Drosophila melanogaster: one gene and its partner. The protein of the gene in region 1 interacts with the protein of each later gene in a pairwise test. Each region holds a gene or a part of one and is shown in the gene's direction. Other genes may lie near its edges. The genes, in order: NfI and Fer2.

Evidence for each region.
Region 2: the proteins of NfI (region 1) and Fer2 interact in a two-hybrid assay, tested with the Drosophila melanogaster proteins (one large-scale study listed by BioGRID).

Annotation. Positions count from the first base shown.
Region 1 is NC_004353.4:273,081-278,101, reverse strand, and holds the start of NfI (nuclear factor I), read left to right. Parts: upstream 1-1,732; 5' UTR 1,733-1,811; intron 1,812-2,382; 5' UTR 2,383-2,441; coding exon 2,442-2,522; intron 2,523-4,185; coding exon 4,186-4,341; intron 4,342-4,389; coding exon 4,390-4,987; intron 4,988-5,021.
Region 2 is NT_033777.3:16,148,633-16,152,946, reverse strand, and holds Fer2 (48 related 2), read left to right. Parts: upstream 1-1,634; 5' UTR 1,635-1,726; coding exon 1,727-1,773; intron 1,774-2,139; coding exon 2,140-2,333; intron 2,334-2,396; coding exon 2,397-2,667; intron 2,668-2,764; coding exon 2,765-2,976; intron 2,977-3,031; coding exon 3,032-3,159; 3' UTR 3,160-3,578; downstream 3,579-4,314. Other genes in the region: CG5916 (uncharacterized protein), read right to left, coding at 4,181-4,314.

The DNA of each region.
Region 1 (5,021 bases):
TATTGTGCGCTGCGTTTCAACGGATTTTCTGTTGGATACGGACATAAGGTAACAATATGGCAGCGTTTTCTAGGCTTCCGCCGAGCGTAACAACAACACGTTAGCCCCACATTTGCTCCGACTGGTCTTGCCGGTACCACGCATATTCAGTTTTTATGAACGCTCCTGGCATCAATTCCTAAAACATTTGACAAGGCCATAAGCACAGTCCTGACACGCGCAGGGGTTTATTTTAGGACTGGACTCGCCGGGTCAATGCCATGGTTTGGTCTTTACTAGTGTCGTACCTATCCGGATTCTGCCTTTCAATTGATTCATGATGACTGGCTATTTAGTCTTTGAAATGCTTAAATGGGCCCACTTTAAACGTTAATCTTCGGCGTCTCCAATGTCCACGGTTTTTCCGTTTGTGCAGGTCAGTCTTTGTATCTTGCTTTCTTGCTTTTCCTGCCGCCTTGCCCTCACTCGTGAAGTCTCGCTTTTCGTCCTCCCTCGCCGTCTGTAACCTGCCTCTCTATCTATCCTCCCTCAGTAAGCGTAATCTGATAGACGCGGAAGTCAACTATCCCATCCCAAATGCATTTGGGATTTCTTTAATCCAATTATTTCGACGCAAAATATCTTCATCTCAAAAGCGAGAAAAACTTTATTCCAAATCAATAAAAGTCTATCGGTCTTGATCGGGTTTATAGGGTAAAATCGCTCTTTTTACAAGAAGTTGACATTCATTTCATCCAATAACCAAGGCCTTTATGGTCACCACTTATAATATGGGGGTGTACTATGTTCGTTGAAATGTGTGTAACATGTTGAAGGAAGCGTTTCGAACAAAAAAAAACGTATTACTGATCAAGATCAATAGTCGAGTTGATCTGGCGAAGTCTTTCGATCTCAGGAACTATTAAAGCAGGAGAGTTGAGATTAGAAAGGAAGATTCCAAATGTTCCAAATGTACGCACACAAACCGCCTTTTCCATCAATGTGCCAAACAAGTTTTTGCACTGGGCACTCTAACGCCCATTTTTGAATGTTTTTATTTCATTCCCCAATTTCTATCGATATTCCAGAAAAATTAATTACTGGAATCTGAGAGTCTTTGAACTCGATGACCAAAAAATTTATTTCGCCATATTGACTAATTTCAACAAACAAAAAACCTTTTTAGGACTTCAGAGGAGGAGTGGAATCTTCGGAAACGAACTTGCACAAATTCGACATTCTAAGAAACTACGTACTTAAAATCAACCTTCTAAACGGATACGGCCATTTCCTTTCTTATGGAATAGGGAACTGTTCTTTGTACATGTTGCTTAATTTTAAACTAATATAGTATTTTTTAAAAAAAATTTTGTGCATTCACACCTTGATTGATCTATAGTTTTTGCCATAAAATGTGTTTTTTAATATAAAAACTTCCGAGTTCCTTTTAGTTAGGCGAATTAATATTGTCATCAAGCTATTGGGCTTGGTAGATATTTCTGACATGTTGAATTTTTACTGTAGTTGCGTGTCACATGCGCATTTCGAATTTCAATGAGCTCTCTCGTTTAGTTCCAGTCTCTCAGAGCACTAGTATCCATTTTTAGAACGTTTGGTTCGCTCGGGCCCTTTGGGTCGCTTATGTATTTGTTGATTAATTTGGATTCATGCACATATGTATGTCTCTCAAAGAGAATAACAGTTGACGAGAACAAAAATCCAAGAAGTCATCTGTGATTTGCCCATTTTAAATTTAGTCTATAAGCACAAGTTTTGCATAACACAGCTACTCAGTTATTGTTCCGTGTACTAGAAATTGCCTTTATATACATGTAAGTGTTAACAAAAAAAATATGAAATTGTGTTTTTCACATAATTAAAACCCGCGAGGTCTTAGAACTGACTTAACTTTAAGAAGGACTTTATTAAAATATTATGGTAGAATACCATTCATACTACTAGTTTACTTAAAGAAAACAAATTACAGTTGCATTTTTAGATAGTATTACAGGTTGTAGTTTAATAACTTTAAAGACGAGCGGACGACTTAATTCTCTATACATTATTGTGCGTAAGCACATGAGAAAGTTTACTTCTTATGTGATTCTCGGTAACTTTTTTGCGGATTGTCCCGACAGTAATAGCCGAGTACATCGATACCTCAGATATGCGTTACTCAGCTGAAGGGCCTTTAACGGAGATAAAGACATGTAAGTTGGGAGGAATCCGTACCGGTGGTTAAATTAATTGCTTGGCAGTTACTCGCTGGATCTTTTACAGGTTTTTCGAATTTGTGGGCGTTAGACGGGCGTTGAAAATATTGCTAGGAACATTAATTATATTTATATAATAAAATACACAGCAATACTACCTAAACTCAATACATTTTTTGATTCACTTTAGACTACGTTCGATATAGACAATGCAATAAACGATTCAATGAAAGTAACAATACCTGAGGTATGTTTATACCAGAAACTTTAAGAGGCTGTATGATCGAGACGGACGTTTCTTCTTATTTGCAAACATCATCATCGGGACAGGTAAAGCGCCGTCGGTACCTTTTTTAGGTTTTTACGAAAAATAGTGATGCTTAATCGAAAAAGTCTGTAAGTTATTTAGTAAGATAGATGCGATTAACAGTGAGATAATTTGAAGAGAACTAAGTTATGCTCTCGAATACGTATATTTTAAATTTTACAAGACCAAATTTATCACGATAGGTACAAATATAGTTTTTTCTTAATCGGAATAATTCGCATGCTTTTTAATATCAGACCTTCTATATTTCTTGAGTTAAATTATAATAATTAGTTTGCCTTCTAAATAGTAATGGAAATTTCACATATAAATAACAAACTAAAACTAAACTAAAAGGGTTGAAACCGCAACCGCAATGTATGTACATTAAAAATGAATCCCGTCATATTATGAATAAATTCGAAACATTGTTTTTATCAACATTAGAACGAAATAAAAAAATGTGGAAAAGTAGGGAAATTATTCACAGAACACTATTTACATTTATTTGTACATATACGTACGTATATACACAGTATACTTGTTTTCTAATTCGTTTGATATCCCATATCATATCCCACCCAGTCGGAAGTTTGTGAACATATCCAGGAAAAGCAGTATTACAGAGTGCTTCATTTTCCACAAACAACGTTACAATTTTTTCCCACAGCTAAGAAGCTGGCTTGAAGCATTGAATAGATGGCGTCGTAGAGCGCCCAAACGTACTGCTTTTAGATGTACTCATTTGGATACGTAAAGGAAAATAAAAACCCCATCGTGCATATTCGGGTACAACGAACCCTGTTCTGTTTATACACAGACTCTGTAGAATCTTTTCATCCTTTCAGTTATATTTTAATATTAGATATACTCTTATTAAAACTATGAATATTAATATAAATTTTCAAACATATGTATGTGTACGCACGTACATCCAACTAATATTTTAAAAAGATCAAGACCATATATATACATTTATGTATATATGAACTTTTTTCTCAAAAAATGTGTACGTTTGTGTTCACACATATGTTAGAAGGGCAAGCACATTTTAAACAATCGTTACTTACAACAAAGCAAATGACAAAAGGGATAGAAGCTGACAAAAAAGGTCGTAGCATTTTGTTGTTTTATTGCCATTCTGTTTAGGTGCTCTTTAAATTTTGAAACGCAAAGATCAGTCAGTTTTTTGCAAAAATTTAGCGACATCTTTATGTTTTGTATTTGGCAAGTATAAGCACATAATATTTATAAATTTCTTGATTTGTTTAAAAAAATGTGACAATTTCACAATTGCACTTTTAATCGAAATATATTTTTAAACAAAAATATAATATAATTTTTAGTACCATCAGGAATGATGGAATACGTAGTTTTTTGTATATATACATAAGGTGGTGCAAATGGTTTTTATTTGTAAATTTTTGTCGATTTTTTAAGCATTCCTTGTTTTGCACTTTAGAACTCTAACTACAACTATAACATACCTCACCTATCTTTGGGATTGTCAAGTATTTAAAACTTATTACAGTTAGAGGCAATTAGGGACTTTTAAGTCTCTGTTCTATGGTCCTTAAATCCGTATTAAGCTTATTGTTAATATACAAAGTACATTAAGTTATATGCACTTAGACATGTAAAATTATTTAAGATCAGTAACTAATTAAATGCCTTTTTTACATATAGGATGAATTTCACCCTTTTATTGAGGCACTCTTACCGTACGTCAAATCATTTTCCTACTCTTGGTTTAATTTGCAAGCCGCCAAACGAAAATATTATAAGAAACATGAAAAACGTATGTCACTGGAAGAAGAAAGACATTGTAAAGATGAACTCCAGGTATTAATACAAACAATTTTTACAAAAGTATAAAATCGTTTTTTTTAGAATGAAAAGACTGAGGTGAAGCAAAAGTGGGCTTCCCGTCTTCTTGGAAAACTCAGAAAAGACATTACACAAGAAAGTCGAGAGGATTTTGTGCAATCTATAATCGGGAAAAGAAAATCAATTTGTGTTCTCTCAAACCCCGATCAAAAGGGAAAAATGAGACGAATTGACTGCTTAAGACAGGCTGACAAAGTATGGCGGCTTGATTTGGTCATGGTTATACTCTTCAAGGCGATTCCATTAGAAAGCACAGATGGTGAGCGGTTAGAAAAAAATCCGGAATGTTTACATCCAGGATTATGTGTAAATCCGTACCACATTAACGTGTCTGTTCGGGAATTGGACTTGTACTTGGCCAACTTTATAAATACTCATAATTCAATTAACAATACAAATACGACTTTCTCAACTACTCCGGGCGTAAGATCGCCACATATAACTATGTATAATCGAAGTAATGATCCAAACAGAAAAGATGAGGTCGCTGACATGAAAAATGATGTCGTTAAACAAAACCCATATAATGGTGTTGTTTGTAATGATATTATTTTAGCAACTGGCGTGTTTTCTTCTCAAGAACTGTGGACATTATCTAAAGGTACTATTTACTTTATTTGCATATTAATCAACAG
Region 2 (4,314 bases), on another chromosome or scaffold:
ATCTATTTATTTTTGGTTTTCCCACAGTTCGTGATTTACACTTCCTTGGGTGCACTCGTTTGAAATGCGATAATTTAATTGTGGTGCGATGACAAGTCCACCTCAGTGGGTTATGGGTTAGGGTTAGGATTAGGGGAAGTACCGGTCTAAAGGGCGGCTTTCCTGCGGCAATTGCAAAAGTTAAATTAACAATCGTGTTTACATTGGTTGGTAACAAGATTTCACTTAAGGATGTCAGCTTTGTTCGCGGCACCACAATTCTATCTCCAGCTCAATCGGTCTGAACTCGAATTCTGCACAGGATTCGGGCACTTACCCTCCATCAAAACTGATTACTGTCATCAGAGCCCGGAGTTCTGGGTGCGAGGGGTGTACGAAGTGTGCGCCGACGCGTGCGACAAGCAAATTTGTCTGGTAATGAAAAGGTTTGCGCATCCGCATCCCTGACATATTGCCAGTCCCTTTGTTCTGCGGATCGGTCTGCTCGGGATTTTCGCGCCTCGGGTTAGGGCACGCGACCAGGTCGCCCGACTGGGCGGGGATTCTCTGACGTAGCTAATTTGCGAGCAAACCAAAACATCAAATAAACATAATTCAATTTCAACAATTGCCCCGTGACGACTGCTGACAAAGACTGCGGCTTCGAGTGGTTCCAGATCCCGATTCTGATCCTGATCCTGTTTCTTGTTCTGGTTAGGTTAAATGAGCCGTGAAATGTAGCGACCAGCTATCTGCCTTAGATCTAATTGCCCTGACTCTGCTTTGTGTCCTCGTCCCGTGGGAATCGAACTTTAGTCGAGTCAAATCAACAGGTCCATGGGCCCCTATTTTGTACTCCGATTACCAGCAGATTTCATCGTATATCCCTTTCCCCATATGGTTGTAAAAACTGATTTTAAAAGGGGAAGCGGGAGGGTTATCTGGGGTTAGGTTAGACGGGTCCCCCGCCTCCAGAAAGCTCCACTCGTCCTCCCCCATCATCAAAGCGGTGGACTCAAACATGGCGACTTCCTGCTGTGCGAAATATAATGGCAGAATGTCAAAAACAGGTGAAGGAAGCACAAAGCGAATGGAGCTGGATCTTAAAGGGGAGTGGCTGCAATGGTATTGTTTCGGCTAGCGAGACTTTAAGCTGTCCTACAATCAACGAACCAATTTTGTGCATTAAGGAAAATTATAAATAAATCGGGATATATATTTTAAAACACAATAAAATTACTTATTAACTTTTCTTAAAATAACTTTAAGCCAAAAAATTTAATAAGGATGGCTTGTATAAAACATGTTTCTGAACAAATATCAAAGTCATTCTGATTTCTAAGTAGACGGGCAAATCAACTACCATAATTAACTTGAAATCCAGATCTACGCCCAGCAATTGAAGGGTAGCCAGAGGCGAATAAGTCCAACGAATTTCCCACAGCATCCGCTCCATTTGCAGGGGCAAACACCCTGTACTTGGCAAGCTCCGCCCATCTCGTAGACGGCTCACGGTAACTGGCTGCAAGGACGTTTAGGGGTGGAAAGGTCCTGGCCAGAGTTGTGGCATTTCCAATTGGATCTGCGGCACTATAAAAGGCTCGCAATTCCCGGGAGATGGACTCACTAAAGTTTTTAACTTATTGGACAGCGGAAGTGCGTAAAAGTGTCGGAAAAGTTAATAGTCGTTCTAGATTTTAATTGGATTAATATTGTTTAGTGAAAAAATAACACATTTGATAAGAAAATGTCGCGAAATCAATTGCCGGATTCGTCGTCTTCACCGCCCATTAGGTACGGATGTTATATAAATATATATAAAATAATAAATATACTATAATAAATACGTAAATTATTCTCTGATTATAATGATAAAATTCGAAAATGTTTTAATGTACGACATAAACGAAAAACGTATGCATATTTATTTAATCAAATAACTGAATAATTGCTCATATATACAGTTTTATTTAATAAAAAATAAATCTATTTATTTACATAAGTATGCGCGCAGAAGTGGAGTCGCGCCCAGAATCTGAACTGACTTTCGTCAGTGCCGTCGGTATCTCGATTTGATTAAATACACGGATACAAAATTAATTACTTTAGACTTTACAATACAGTCCTAATCATCAAATGTTCAATTCTTACCTTTAACAGCCATTTACCCTTCCACAATTTCGACGATGATCTGATTAACGATTTGCCCTCCTGCATTTATGCGGGTCAGCATCAAGGCGGAGGCGCCACCGGTGGAGGTGGTGGATCGGGAGGTGGCGGTGGCAGTTCTGGGCTGCGTCTGAGCTCCAACAACCTGCGTCACATCCAGCAGCATTATATGCAACATAGCGGAGGTATGACGGAGAATAAATATATTTACGTCAAGACACCTTGAATATCTTTCTGAAATCCCTCAGAAAATCTGCTCGACTCCTCTACCAATCCAATGGGGGTGCACAATTCCGGGGGAGGAGCACCCTTAATGTGCAACAGCCCCAGTGCCAGCAGCAGTGGAGGAGGGTGCGGCAACGCAGGATCTGCTACTCCTGGCGGTGCAGGTGGTCCCAATCCTGGATATGGATCCGTGGGAGCTGCAACTGCGTCCAGCTACAAAATGCAGCGACAGGCGGCCAATGTGCGGGAAAGGAAACGCATCCAGAGGTCCGCCCCAACTGGGTACACCAAATGGTCTTTTCCATTTTACAACTTACTATCCCACGATCTCTTAACCAGAAATTATAACTAACAAGCTTTCCTTTTTTTTTTGTATTTTTGCGCTTTGCAGTAGCATCAATTCGGCTTTCGATGAGCTAAGGGTCCATGTACCCACCTTTCCGTACGAGAAACGTCTGAGCAAGATCGACACTCTGCGGCTTGCCATCGCCTATATATCTCTGCTCCGTGAGGTACTACAAACCGACTACGATCCCCTAACCTATGTGGAGAAGTGTCTGCGCGGAGAGATCAAAGCGGATAGGGCTAATTGGAATACGAGTGGTGAGTAGAGAATTTGGTCGGAATATCAATGGTCAATAAATGGTTCGCTTCGCAGATCTCACAGCTCGTCTGTCGTGGATCAACTGGGAGAACCTCGGAGTACATCCTGGTAGGCGAACCCTGCTTACCTCGTTGGCTCTCTCCTCGGAACCCATGTGCGGAGCTCATTGCGGAATGCCGTAGATTCGCTCTATATATTTGAGGCTTAGCCTATCAACTGCTGAAAGCACTTACCACTTAAGCTTCTGATCTTCCCCAAAGATTACAAAGTCTTCCCTTTAGGTTTTGATATCCCAAAATAGTTTAAGGCTGGACATATTTCTACAGTTACTAACAGTTAGCAATAGTATTTTATTTGAAAAGCGTCTCGGCTGCACGAAATACAAGACCCATCTGCCATTGAAGCCCACTACTGTGTTTAATAAATAGTTATTGGTTTCAAAGGCTCGCAGGATAATGCATTTACAAATCAATTCCTCAAATTATATTTCAGGATAAATCTTTTGTAAATAGTATTGAGTATTGGGCAACCGATCTGACAAACCGACAAACCAGTTGCAGCTAACAGACGTTTTACAGTTAGTCAACTATGTAACAACTTTAAAAGCATTTATATATATAAAAGTAAATACATGTTTTAACTAGACGTAGACATTAACATAGCTCCCTATCAAAGTACACATACTCGAAAATAAATACTTCTTTGATCAACAAGATAACTTAGAACACAAAATGTTTGTTGTTGGGTAAAAGGAGGGCTAAATGCGCTGCCGATGGTTAGGCATGTATGTAATTTGTATAATATTTATGTACTTGCTCTATTTGGACTACATGCGGAAGATATCAACTAGAAACTTTTGGCTACTACTCCTACGGCATACGTACGTAGGTACATATGCGCTTAAACTAATCTGTTCAACTCTGTTAAATTTCAAATTTCGCTTTGATAACTCGACCAGATTTCGTTGGCTAATACTCAAATTGTGTTGACCTTGGCTACAATGGTAATACAAATGCGCGCACATAAGTATGTACTAAATAGAAACGATTACATAATGCACACTCACAATAATGAACATAAACACAATGACACGGCTGAACTACGCTCCTAATAATTGAATTTTCGATTGCTTCTCCAATTTGTTTTTGGTTTTGTTGCTGTTGTTTGATCTATTGGTCATAGAGCCCTTTCCACACTGGCTCCTTAGGCCGGATTAAGCACGGCCACCTTGCGTAGGCTCTCTAGCTCGCTTCTCTTCAAACGCAGACTGAACATGGCCTCAACAAAGCCATGACAGTCCGTCACAATGTTGTCCTGGATCATGGTATCCCGGAATA